3 linked regions of the Arabidopsis thaliana genome follow. The protein of the gene in region 2 interacts with the protein of the main gene of each other region in a pairwise test. Each region holds a gene or a part of one and is shown on either strand. Other genes may lie near its edges. The genes, in order: AT3G01300, EXO70E2 and AT1G31870.

Region 1 (3,755 bases), on a different chromosome or scaffold from region 2:
AGTAGACACATGAGTTTTGCCTTCATCAGGAGCATCTTTGGCAAGCCCAAAATCTGATAATTTAGCATTGTACTCCTGAAATTGGGACATGGTAAGACTTTAGAAGCAAAGAAACAGACGTGTATATAAGATGTTGATCCCTTGATATAAAGAAGAGGAAAACATACCCCATCCAGTAAAATATTTGAGGTTTTGAAATCTCGATAAATGACCGGCTTTAAAGCTTCTTCGTGAAGGAAACTGAGACCCTTTGCAGCACCTAATGCAATCTTCATCCGAATTGACCATGGAAGAGGCAAGGACCCTTCAACACGAAGCACAAGTTAATTCACAAATAAAAAGATTTGCATCAATGATAACTGAGAAGATAAATCATACAAAAGCACTGTGTCTTTTTAAACACATTTTTTACGCCGAAAAATCTTGAAACAATGAATGCGAGGGATTTACTTATTGCTTCGTGGGTCAATACAGTCAAGCAATATAAACCATCTAAGACAGCACTAAAAGGTACCAACTTTACCATATAGAGCAGAAAGGTTCCAATTTTAGCTGTATAGATTCTAATCACTTTAACAATATGGAGTAGACACATCTCTAAATTGTAGACACTTGTTACCCAAATCGAAAACAAAGAAAAGGAAAGAAAATAACTCTACAGTGTAATTAGAATATGAAGGTTGTAGTTGTTTTACTTACTTCTGAAAAGGTGATTCTCCAAACTTCCTCGAGGCATAAACTCATATACAAGCAGCCTTTGATCATCTTCGATACAATAACCCACCAGTTTAACAAGATTGGGATGGAGAAGATTACCAAGATAATTAATCTCAGCCTGCAAACAGGAACCTTTAGTTGTGTGTTTAACAGTGGAAAAGGATATATATATATAGAAGAAAAGAGAAGGAAGGAAGGATCTTACAAGCCACTCTTTATGACCCTGAAGGCCATCAGGATTTAAGGTTTTGACGGCAACAGTAAGGCCAGTGCCAGGCTTAACAGGAGCAGTTCCGTTCTCCTCGACCCAGCCTTTGAAGACACAACCAAAGCCACCTTCTCCGAGAAGGCTTTCAGGTCTGAAATTTCTAGTAGCCAACTTGAGATCAATGAAAGAAAACTTCTTAAGGTGAGAATAGATGTTAAGTTCTTCACTTATGATAGGAGTGGACAAAGAGCTTTCTGCATTGCTAGTTGTAGTAGTAGAAGAGACTGGGCCAACCGGTTGGTCATTTGATTGCACAATTGCGGACTGACTTCCCACTGTTATAAAAAACCATTCAAATGTCAGTTCCTACAATTGCTGCAATATATATACATTATAATCTATGAAGTAGCTCAAAGTTAGGTAAACCAACCACAATGACATTAAAGGTTTTGCTCAATAAGAACCCTAGATGGAAAGATACGTCTTGTGACAAATATGGAAACAAAAATGAAGAAGATTTGAATCTCAAAGGAAGGGTTTTTATTAACTCTAACGGCACAGGAAACTAAATTGCAGAACCAAATAGAGCAGAGAAGAAAAGAGCCAAAAGAAGAAGGCATACCAGTGCTAGTAGAGAGAGTGAGAGAGGTCTCAACGTCTGATGTTGAAGAAGCGCAACAGACTATATACCTAAATTTGACCCAACACCCATTTGCTTCTTCTTCATAATGTTCACTGTTTCTGACATTGTTGTTCTTCTTCCTCCTCCGCTTCTTCTTCTTCTTCTCATTCTCATTAGATGTCTTGGATTGCCAATTCTCCATAACTTTAACAGAATCGAAACCCATCTCCCCCAAAAAGCAGCTCAAACGAGAACTCAAGAACAAAAAAAGGAAAAAGGACGGAACTTGATCAGAGGAAACAAACGCAAGGGAATTAGAGAGAAGAAGAAGAATCCCAGAAATTTGATCTTGGCGAGAAGAAGAAGTAAGATTCACTTATTAGGGGAAAAAGGAGGTTAGTCAAAAAGGGAATTCATGTCTGTGGAGAGAGAATACGAAGAAGAGAGAAGAGACGGGCACGAAGCGGGCAAGAGAGAGAGATTTGTTGGGCAATAATAATGTAAATATATATGTGTTTGTTTGCTAACTCTCTCTTCTCTTCTCAACAACAGTTACAAAACGCATTTTTCGTAGTTTTTTAAACAGAGACTAATTAATTCCTTCACGGACAAATGTTCCCTAATTGCATTACCAACATTTTTTAAAATTTGATAAAACTATCTATGTATCTCCTTCATTTGGTCATTTTTTAAAATGTTTTTCATGATCATTTGTTATTTTTCAGTTTGTATATTAAGTCGTTTATTACAATTTCCAATCAATTAGTACTATTCTTACTAATAATAATAATTTGTATTTCAATTATCAATTTAATGTCTTGAGATTTTCCCAAAACGAAAAATCCACCGATTATTAGATTGTTTTAGATTCGGTATTTGTTTATCCGATATCATCAGCCTATTCTTTTGCAGATTATATATAAATTCCAACAAATCCGCAACAACTTTAACGTAACAGCATGATATGAAAACACAGTGTTTACAATAAGACTCATCATCATTTCTTGAGTTATAATAGATGAGTCCTATTGTAAACACTAGACAACGTCACGGGTGACTCATTTATGTTCCATGTAATCATATCTTTATTCAAACCCAACTGCACTAGTCCCTTTCACAATTTCACATAGAAAATTAAAACATCAGTAGAAAAACAAGAAGATGATTAAAAACTGCACATAGAAAAAAGCATGAGCAAAATATATATAAGTGGAAAAAACAATTGGTCTCTGCTTAGCTCCTTCCATTAGAAGAAGAGTTCTTATAGTTGTGGAAGAGGTTTACGAGTCGCTCCAGCACCGCAGCACTTTTTGAGAAGTAACCCGAGAAACCAACCGGAGTGGACGCCGGAGGGAAATCTTCCGCCGGCATAGCAAATGGACGAACCATTTTCTCCATTGTCTCCAAGCTTAAACAAGAACCTACTTCTTGAAGCCTCTCTGGTCCCATTATCGGAAGTGTGTGTTCCCTTAGCAATGTCTCTGCCTCGTCGTCATTATTCTGCATCATGTTTCAATATTACCAAAAGTTTATAATATGTTCCTCTAATTAGTTAAAGACATCCTTTGCTCTTACCCTTAAGGGAGACAAATCAGCTCCACGGCTAAATGTAAGTTCAATGCGGAATCTTTTCGGGTCTTCAAGTGATACCTGCATCCGTTTTTTACGTCTAGAGTCAGACACTGAGAGAGCATATACATATATTGAAGCATGTGTGAGAGTCAAAGGGAATGTAATGTTAAACCTCGGTGTTCTCAAAGAGCCTTAGGACAATGTAACTCATGTAATCGAGTTCCTTGGTTTTACAGAGACGTTCTAAGGCGTTTTGGCAAATGAGGCTTTCTTCTCCTAGGAGAGATTCATCAAGGTTACAGTATCGAAGGACGTTCATGAGCGAATGAATATGCGATTCCTGTTCCAAATCATACCAGGCATAAACATTATAGTTTCACTCATAGACAGACTTAAACAAGCAATGGAGCAAAGAGGAAACTTACAGATGTGAAGTAAAGTCGAGTCCTCACATGACGTTCAGGTGTCTTCACATTTGCATACCTAAAAGCGAAATGAAAACCACCAATTAGTAGCCGAAATAACTATCTATATAAGAGTGAGAGAGAAAGTAAAGACTATTACTTTGGATCTAATCGGTATTTGGTTTCTTTATCATCATCTTCATCTTTATCACCTGTGCCAGGTCGTCTCAAT
Region 2 (3,755 bases):
GGTGCAGCACTGTCAAAATCCAAACGAATTTAAGCAAAACACTAATAAAATAACCATTTGACAGAGACAGTAATGAAACATTGAAGATCAAAAAAGATAATTTGCTTACTTTCCCCTTTGTTCACTCATTATCTGAGAAGCTGATTTGGCTACAAATTCCTGCTTCGGTTTCAATGTGATACCAGTAGAAACAACATCATTCAGAGGACTGACAGGAGAATGCTCTAGTTTCTGCTTCTTGGGCTCACGAGCCTCCTCCTCTCCGCTCTTACTGTCCAAGTTAATCTCAGAATCAAGCACAGAACCAACAGCCTCACATTTAGTCACAAGGAAATATCTGACACAGAGACAATAGAGAAACACACATGTTAGTAACTGTTGATTTCAAGAATCGAACCAGAGTGATTATCCATGTAAAGAAGAAGCAAAAGAGAAGTCTTACTTTGTAGATTTGCTTGAAATGTCGTTAACAGTGAAATCAATGAGACGAATTAGACCCAAGTTCTGGATCTTCCCAGAAATGATTTCAGGTGTGAGTGAAGCAGTAAACATTGCTTTGACTTTCGTCTTTCCGTCATTTGCACTAAATCTGTCAACCAAAATCAAAACAGATCCATCAGAACAAAATCGGTAACTAAAACCCAAAACTAGGCAATATACAAACTATTATCAACAAACCCAGATCTCTTCTATCATAGAGTCATCAAAGTCGTTGCATATCATAATCTAGCTATACAATTGTGATTGAGAGAATATAACACTGACCTAAAGCTGGAACAAGCGAGATTTAAGAAATCAAGTAAAACCCAGATCATGAAAAGCCAAGGAAACTTACGTATAGCGATTGCCGATAGGTTTAAGATCCACAACTTGAACAACGATCTCAGATCGATCGGAAGACGAATCAAAGGATGGGTTTGACAAAACGGTGGAGATGGCATCTGGGGTCACCGAAGTCTGCATCTTTCTCTCTAGATATTGAAAAATGAAACGTTTGGTTTCTCTTTAATCAGAATGGTGAAAACTAAAAGCCGTGAGATAGTGAGAAGAATGAGAGAGAGGTACGAGGGTTTTTGTAAAGGAGAGAGCTTTAAGCGGGAGCTATTAAATTCGATTAATTGTTCCCCCGCCGATTTCAATTTCTATTTTTTTGGCAAAAAACTCTTACCGCTTCTTTTCAGTATCTTTCCATTTTTTTGGCGCATTTTGTTTTGTTTGATAATGGACTTTGTATGCGAAAGAAACTGTGTTACAAAAGCCTTTCACTTCAGGCCCATAGTTTATGGTTTTGTTTTTATGTGTGGGTCTTGAATCCACCGTATCACACGTTATGATTCATAAATATCTAAAATTTATTTCCAACAAATACAATTTTTTTGTTTCTTAAAGAACACATACGATATTATTATTTCAGAAAAAGATTAAATACAAAATCCCCAGGATCAAAATCAAACACCAATTCCAGATTAAACAATATCAACAATCTTTAATGTTTTTGACTTTTTTTTTTCTCTGAATGTTTTTGACAATTGAAAAAAATAATTCTACGCATTGCGTGAGGCAAACATTTAAAATTTTAATTTATATAAAGAGAAAATTTATACTTCTTGACTTGGGAAAAAAAAACTTGCTGAGGTCCTTACTTGATATGAGCTGTCAACTACTAGTGTGAGCCGTACAAATATAATCGGACGGTTCAGATCAATACATTGCGAGCCAGTCAAACTTCAAGTATTGACTAATCAACATCAACGTTTATTACACTAATTTATTATTGTACCCCTTATTTTCCAAAAACATAATACTTTTATCCCTATTGTATCCAATAGCTCTAAAAAAATCCACCATAAAATGTGTTTAATGAAATTCGATTATCTCTGACGACAACATTATCAAAAATCAAGACAAGAGATAGAACATAAAATGTTCAAATTCGTAAAAGTAATTGAAACAAATTAAATTCATTTCGAAGTTTATTAATTACATTTTGACCCCCAAATTTAAGTTAATTAGACTTACCATCCCCATGGTTTTCGTCCCGCCATATGGGGAAGTCAATGGACGAATCAATCTCAATTAGATTCGGGGCGGCCCAAAAATTTATCATTTTCTAAACCTTTCGTAATCTACGAAATTACGGGATCGCCTTCGTTGGAATACTAATTCCATTTTTCAACTTTGTTTTTATAAATACAGTTTACGTGCACCACAACTTTTCTTCTTTCCCTTCTTCTTCCCCAATAATCTCGCTGAAACTCTCTTGCTCTTGCTTCTAAAAATCTGTTCTTTGAGACTTTGATCACACAGTTATCAAAATCATAATCTCTTCTTTCCTGGTTTTTTTTTTTTTCTTCTTCTTCTTCCCGTTTCACGGTACGTTTACTCTGTTCGATCACCGAGTGTATGATAAAATGTTTCTGTGAAATCAAATAACATATCACTTTCTAATAAACATCAAAATTTCTCCTTTTTTACAGAAACAAGAAGTTTTTTTGGGAAAGCCGTTGACTTGACTTTTTCTTTGGGGTGTTGTGTGGGAGCTTATAGTATGGTACCATAAGTGGGAGCTTATAGTTTGGGGTGTTGTGTGGGAGCTTATAGTATGAGGAAAAATGTTAGATTTGAAGAATGCTTCACTGATTTTTTACCATAAGTATGTCAACTGGATTAAGCTTAAGTAGTAATGGTTTTTACTATGTTCATGTGGGGATTTCTCTTCCTCTCTGTTTACTTCATTCCGAGATGACTTGAGATTTTTTCAAAGTATAGTTCTTGGAGTTAAGCTTACCTAGTAATCACTTTATATAACATCCCTTCGTTTACATTTGTGCTTTCACCTGGAAACACTTTAGACTTTTCTCTCTTCTGCCGTGTGTATTTAGTTGTCTAGTCAAATTTAAGTTGAGTTTAGGCTCTAGTCTTTGGTTTTGGTTATGGCAGAGTTTGATTCCAAGGTTCCTGTTTCCGGAATGAACAATCATGTCTTTGAGGCATGTCACCATGTTGTTAAGGCACTGAGGGCATCTGATAACAACCTGGATGCCAATTTGAGAAAGCTCCTAAGTGACCTAGAGATGCATTTGTCAACATTTGGGATTGCTGATACCAAAGTTGAAGATGCAGGATTCTCTGAGATCAAGAAGAGATTCAAAGAAGCTGTGAAGAGAATCCGCAGTTGGGAGACAAACCAGTCGACGATGTTTGAAGCTGGTCTGTCTGAAGCTGATCAGTTCTTTCAAGCCCTGTATGACGTTCAAACAGTTCTTGTGGGTTTCAAAGCTTTGCCCATGAAAACTAACCAGATGGAGAAAGATGTTTACAACCAAGCTACGGTTGCTCTTGACATCGCGATGTTGAGGCTTGAGAAAGAGCTCTGTGATGTTCTGCATCAGCACAAACGGCATGTACAGCCTGATTACTTGGCTGTTAGTTCCCGTAGAAAAGATATTGTGTACGACGAGTCCTTTGTCTCCCTAGATGATGAAGTTATTGTCGAAGCTTCTTCACATGAAGATGATGAACAGATATCGGACTTTTATAATTCTGATTTGGTTGATCCCATCGTACTTCCTCACATCAAAGCTATTGCAAACGCCATGTTTGCTTGCGAGTATGATCAACCATTCTGTGAAGCTTTCATCGGCGTTCAAAGAGAAGCTCTGGAGGAGTATATGGTTACTCTCGAAATGGAAAGATTCAGCTGCGTTGATGTTCTCAGAATGGACTGGGAGGATTTGAATGGTGCAATGAGAAAA
Region 3 (3,755 bases), on a different chromosome or scaffold from region 2:
TGGAGAGGGCCTCCCTATTAACAAAGCCTTGCATCAATACTGCTCCCGTATCAACGTTTTGTGCTATTGCCACAGCTAATCCTTTGTCATCCCATTTAATGCGGTCCAACAAGTTATCTACCTAACACAAGAAAACAACAGAAACCATGATTAGCTACCAGGGAACACAACAGCCGCATATACATTGCTTATTGAGACAGTAATAAAAGGCACAATGGCAACACTACCAACACAGAAAAAAACATTGTCATTTCAATCAAACAAGCCCCTCTCTAATAGTATAAACAGTAAATGCATTATCGGACTAGATATTAAAGCCAAAAGAGAAATGTCTCAATGAAGATTATTCAGGTTGTGGAGGACAGATGTAGCCCATGCCATCACAGATTCAGATGACCAAGCAAACGATGTACACCTTTAGAGAAAACTCCAGACCAAAAGATGGAAACCATCAAAAAGCCTTTCCTTCTCTCTTTTTTCTTTACCAGAGATGTAACAGTTCAAACTCATTTGTCAAAGAGTAGGAACCTGACCATCTCTGGCCAAATCTCAATTGTACATGACGTAACTAAAATAGATTAACAAATGACACATCTTACATGAACCTCCTTTTCTCTAAATTAAAACATAAGTTACTTCGGAAGGCATCACAGTAATTCAGTGATGAATTAATCCAACTCTGAGAGCGCAAGACAATACATATTTCCTTGAAAAGATATCAACTGTGATGAACAAATGGAGCCAAGTCATCACGTAACAAAGATGACCAAGCAAACGATGAGCACCTTGAAAGAGACATCCAAACCTAAAGATGGAAACCATCAAAAAGCCTTTCCTTCTCTCTCTTTTCTATACCAGAGATGTAACAGTCCAAACCCACATGTCAAAGGGTAGGAACCTGACCATCTCTGGCAAAAATCCAAACTTTACATATACAATTTACTCCAGACAATGTTCATAGAACTAAATTACTTTTGGCATAACAATATACTTAAATGCTTTAATAAAATGTGATGAACAGATGTAGCTCAGGCATCACCAAATGCAGATGACCAAGCAAACGATGAGCATCTTAAAAAAGAAATCCAAACTCTAAAAATGAAGCTCAGGTTAAAAAGCTTTTCCTTCTCTCTTTTTTCTCTACCCGACATGTAACAGTAATTACTCATATGTCAAAGAGTAAGCACCTGACAATGTCTGGTTCAATATTCAATCTAAATTCTAATCGTTCTTAGATAACAATTAAACTTAACACGATTCCATTGCAGAACATTCTATCTATAAGTTAAGATTACACAGAAGATGTTTACCTTAGCTTGAAGAGCAATGTTCTTATTATCATTGCACGCGAATACGACATTGGATCTGCTTCTCAGCTTAGTATCTCTAAAGGAATAAGGTTTGGGGATGAAGCAGCTACTTCTCGCTAAAGACTGAGCTAATGCATTGTACGATACCGCCATTTTAACGCTACGAGAAACGAAAAGTGGCGGCGGATTGAAAAAAAAAAGCAACGGAAGAGATTAACCCTAATTGTTCTGAAGTCAATGTGATAGTGAAGGGCTTTTTAAAGACCGACTCAGCAATGTGTGCAAATACTAAAATGCCCCTATTTATGTCTTAATATTAGGAATTACAAAAGCAATCCCTATTAATTGCTTGAAATTTCAAATTCCGCCATAACTTAAGTTTTTCTCTATTCTTCGTCTCCAGGAGATCCAAAAACCCTAGAAGAGCTAGCTCTCCGAGTTATCATTTTCAACTATTCGCGTTGGGTTACTGATATTTTCCCGGTCATCTCCGGCGTTAATTTTCCGATCAGGTTAGTAATTTTACGATTCTATGAATGTATGCTTGTCTTCGTTTAGCTTTCTAGTTTTCTGGAATCGCTTTTGAGTAGATGCAAATTTGTGGATTTGATGACGATATAAGACTAAGCATTCTTTTGTTATTCTCGATTCAGTCTCATTTTCGTAGGGCTTGATTGATGCTAATTTGAGTTTAGCAACTAATTGTTGATTCCAGATTTGGTTTTGAAAGCTATATCTATAATTCGGTCTCTTAAGATGATGAACGGTGGCATTGCCATTAATTCCTGCTTGAACCTCTGGTTCCTGAATTGAATATATCTTCGTCTAGATGTTATGTTTGACTGAATTTTTCAAGTTTATCATTGGTATTTAGGCTCCAAATTCTCAAAGATGGCAGGAAACCAATCTTTAAAAGATTACTTGAAGAAGTATGAAAGTAGTGATGTTGTAGAGAAGAAGAAGAAGAAGAAGAAGCAGAAGAAGCCATCTAAACCTGAACCAAGAGGTGTTTTAGTTGTCGACGAAGATCCAGTTTGGCAAAAGCAGGTTGATCCTGAAGAGGACGAAAACGAAGATGATTCAGCAGGTAAATTGCTTGACTGTTTCTTGTTTCTTGGACTTGTGCATCTGTAATGCTTTCACTTCCCTGATCTAATAACAGTTCACATTTACATATTGTGTTCTCTTTTCATTTGTTTCGTATAGAGGAAACACCTCTGGTTGATGAAGACATTGAAGTTAAGCGAATGAGGAGGTTGGAGGAAATTAAGGCAAGGCGTGCTCATAATGCCATTGCTGAGGATGGAAGTGGGTGGGTAACGTTACCTCTAAACCGTGAAGACACACAATCTAATATTTCTCCTCCACGTAGACAAAGGACTCGTAATGACTCGCCCTCTCCTGAGCCTGGGCCTAGACGGTCGGTTGCGGATAGAGTTGATACAGATATGTCACCACCACGACGGAGAAAACGTCACAATTCGCCTTCACCTGAACCTAACAGAAAACATACCAAGCCTGTTAGTTTGGATTCAGATATGTCACCACCTCGCAAAAGAAAAGCCAGGAATGATTCGCCTTCACCAGAACCTGAAGCTAAATATCTGAGTGAAGATCTATCTCCTCCTCGTAGGAGACATGTTCATTCTCCATCGCGTGAATCTAGCAGAAAGCGTTCAGATTCTGTTGAGTTGGACGATGATTTATCTCCGCCTCGCAGGAAAAGAGATTTACATGGTTCACCTGTCTCAGATGTAAAAAAGAAGAGCAATGATCTATCTCCTCCACGGAGAAGAAGATATCATTCTCCATCACCTGAACCAGCTAGAAGGTCTTCAAAATCTTTTGGCTCGAATGCTGATTTATCTCCACCCGGCCGGAATATAAATATGAAGGATTCTCAAGACTCAGATCTTTCGCCTCAAAGAAAAGCCGCAGATTTGCGACGTTCTTCTGAAAATGTGTCCAGGAGTTCCAATTTTGATAGCTCTCCCCCAAGGAGACCACGCAGAGATTCATCACCTCCTCAAATAAGCAAGGAGCAACGAAAGACCGGATTGATTAGTGGCAAAGACATTGGAAGTGAATATCGAAAGAAAAAGGAGGATGAAAAATTGAGGTAATTATCAGAAAGTAGACTAAGCTTTTTAGAATCTGTTACTGCATTTTAGTTATAGGCATCAGGTTTGTTTCAGTTTCAGTAGTATTGGGCCAAGAGTAGTTTCCTATTTCCTTGAAGTTTCATGTTGCCTACTTCCTAAGTTTCTAAGATTTTGTCTTCTGTGTCTTTAAATAGGGAATTCATAAAGAGACCAGTCTTCAGTAACGATGATTTGAGATTCGCGATTGCATGTTTTTAGGCTACCATCTTTCTGACAAATTATACTCTTCTACAGGTTTAAAAATATGGATTCCGAGCTAACTGGTCAAAACGCAGAAGCAGTG

What was found.
Region 1: the proteins of EXO70E2 (region 2) and AT3G01300 interact in a two-hybrid assay, tested with the Arabidopsis thaliana proteins (one large-scale study listed by BioGRID).
Region 3: the proteins of EXO70E2 (region 2) and AT1G31870 interact in a two-hybrid assay, tested with the Arabidopsis thaliana proteins (one large-scale study listed by BioGRID).

What each region holds. Positions count from the first base shown.
Region 1 is NC_003074.8:91,563-95,317, forward strand, and holds the start of AT3G01300 (Protein kinase superfamily protein), read right to left. Parts: upstream 2,027-3,755; 5' UTR 1,774-2,026; coding exon 1,548-1,773; intron 1,261-1,547; coding exon 923-1,260; intron 836-922; coding exon 700-835; intron 305-699; coding exon 168-304; intron 76-167; coding exon 1-75. Other genes in the region: AT3G01310 (Phosphoglycerate mutase-like family protein), read right to left, coding at 2,781-3,047, 3,123-3,197, 3,292-3,459, 3,545-3,602, 3,684-3,755. UniProt on the Arabidopsis thaliana protein: Involved in chitin-triggered immune signaling and is required for reactive oxygen species (ROS) production.
Region 2 is NC_003076.8:24,551,679-24,555,433, forward strand, and holds the start of EXO70E2 (exocyst subunit exo70 family protein E2), read left to right. Parts: upstream 1-2,065; 5' UTR 2,066-2,933; coding exon 2,934-3,755. Other genes in the region: RPA70D (Replication factor-A protein 1-like protein), read right to left, coding at 1-9, 110-337, 443-589, 836-963. UniProt on the Arabidopsis thaliana protein: Influences the subcellular localization patterns of other exocyst complex proteins (e.g. SEC5A, SEC15A, SEC15B and EXO84B) leading to their recruitment to exocyst, well-defined large punctate structures throughout the cytosol.
Region 3 is NC_003070.9:11,435,068-11,438,822, forward strand, and holds the start of AT1G31870 (pre-mRNA-splicing factor of RES complex protein), read left to right. Parts: upstream 1-1,651; 5' UTR 1,652-1,822; intron 1,823-2,184; exon of another isoform or gene 2,185-2,201; coding exon 2,202-2,397; intron 2,398-2,516; coding exon 2,517-3,429; intron 3,430-3,706; coding exon 3,707-3,755. Other genes in the region: AT-IE (histidine biosynthesis bifunctional protein (HISIE)), read right to left, coding at 1-121, 1,311-1,463.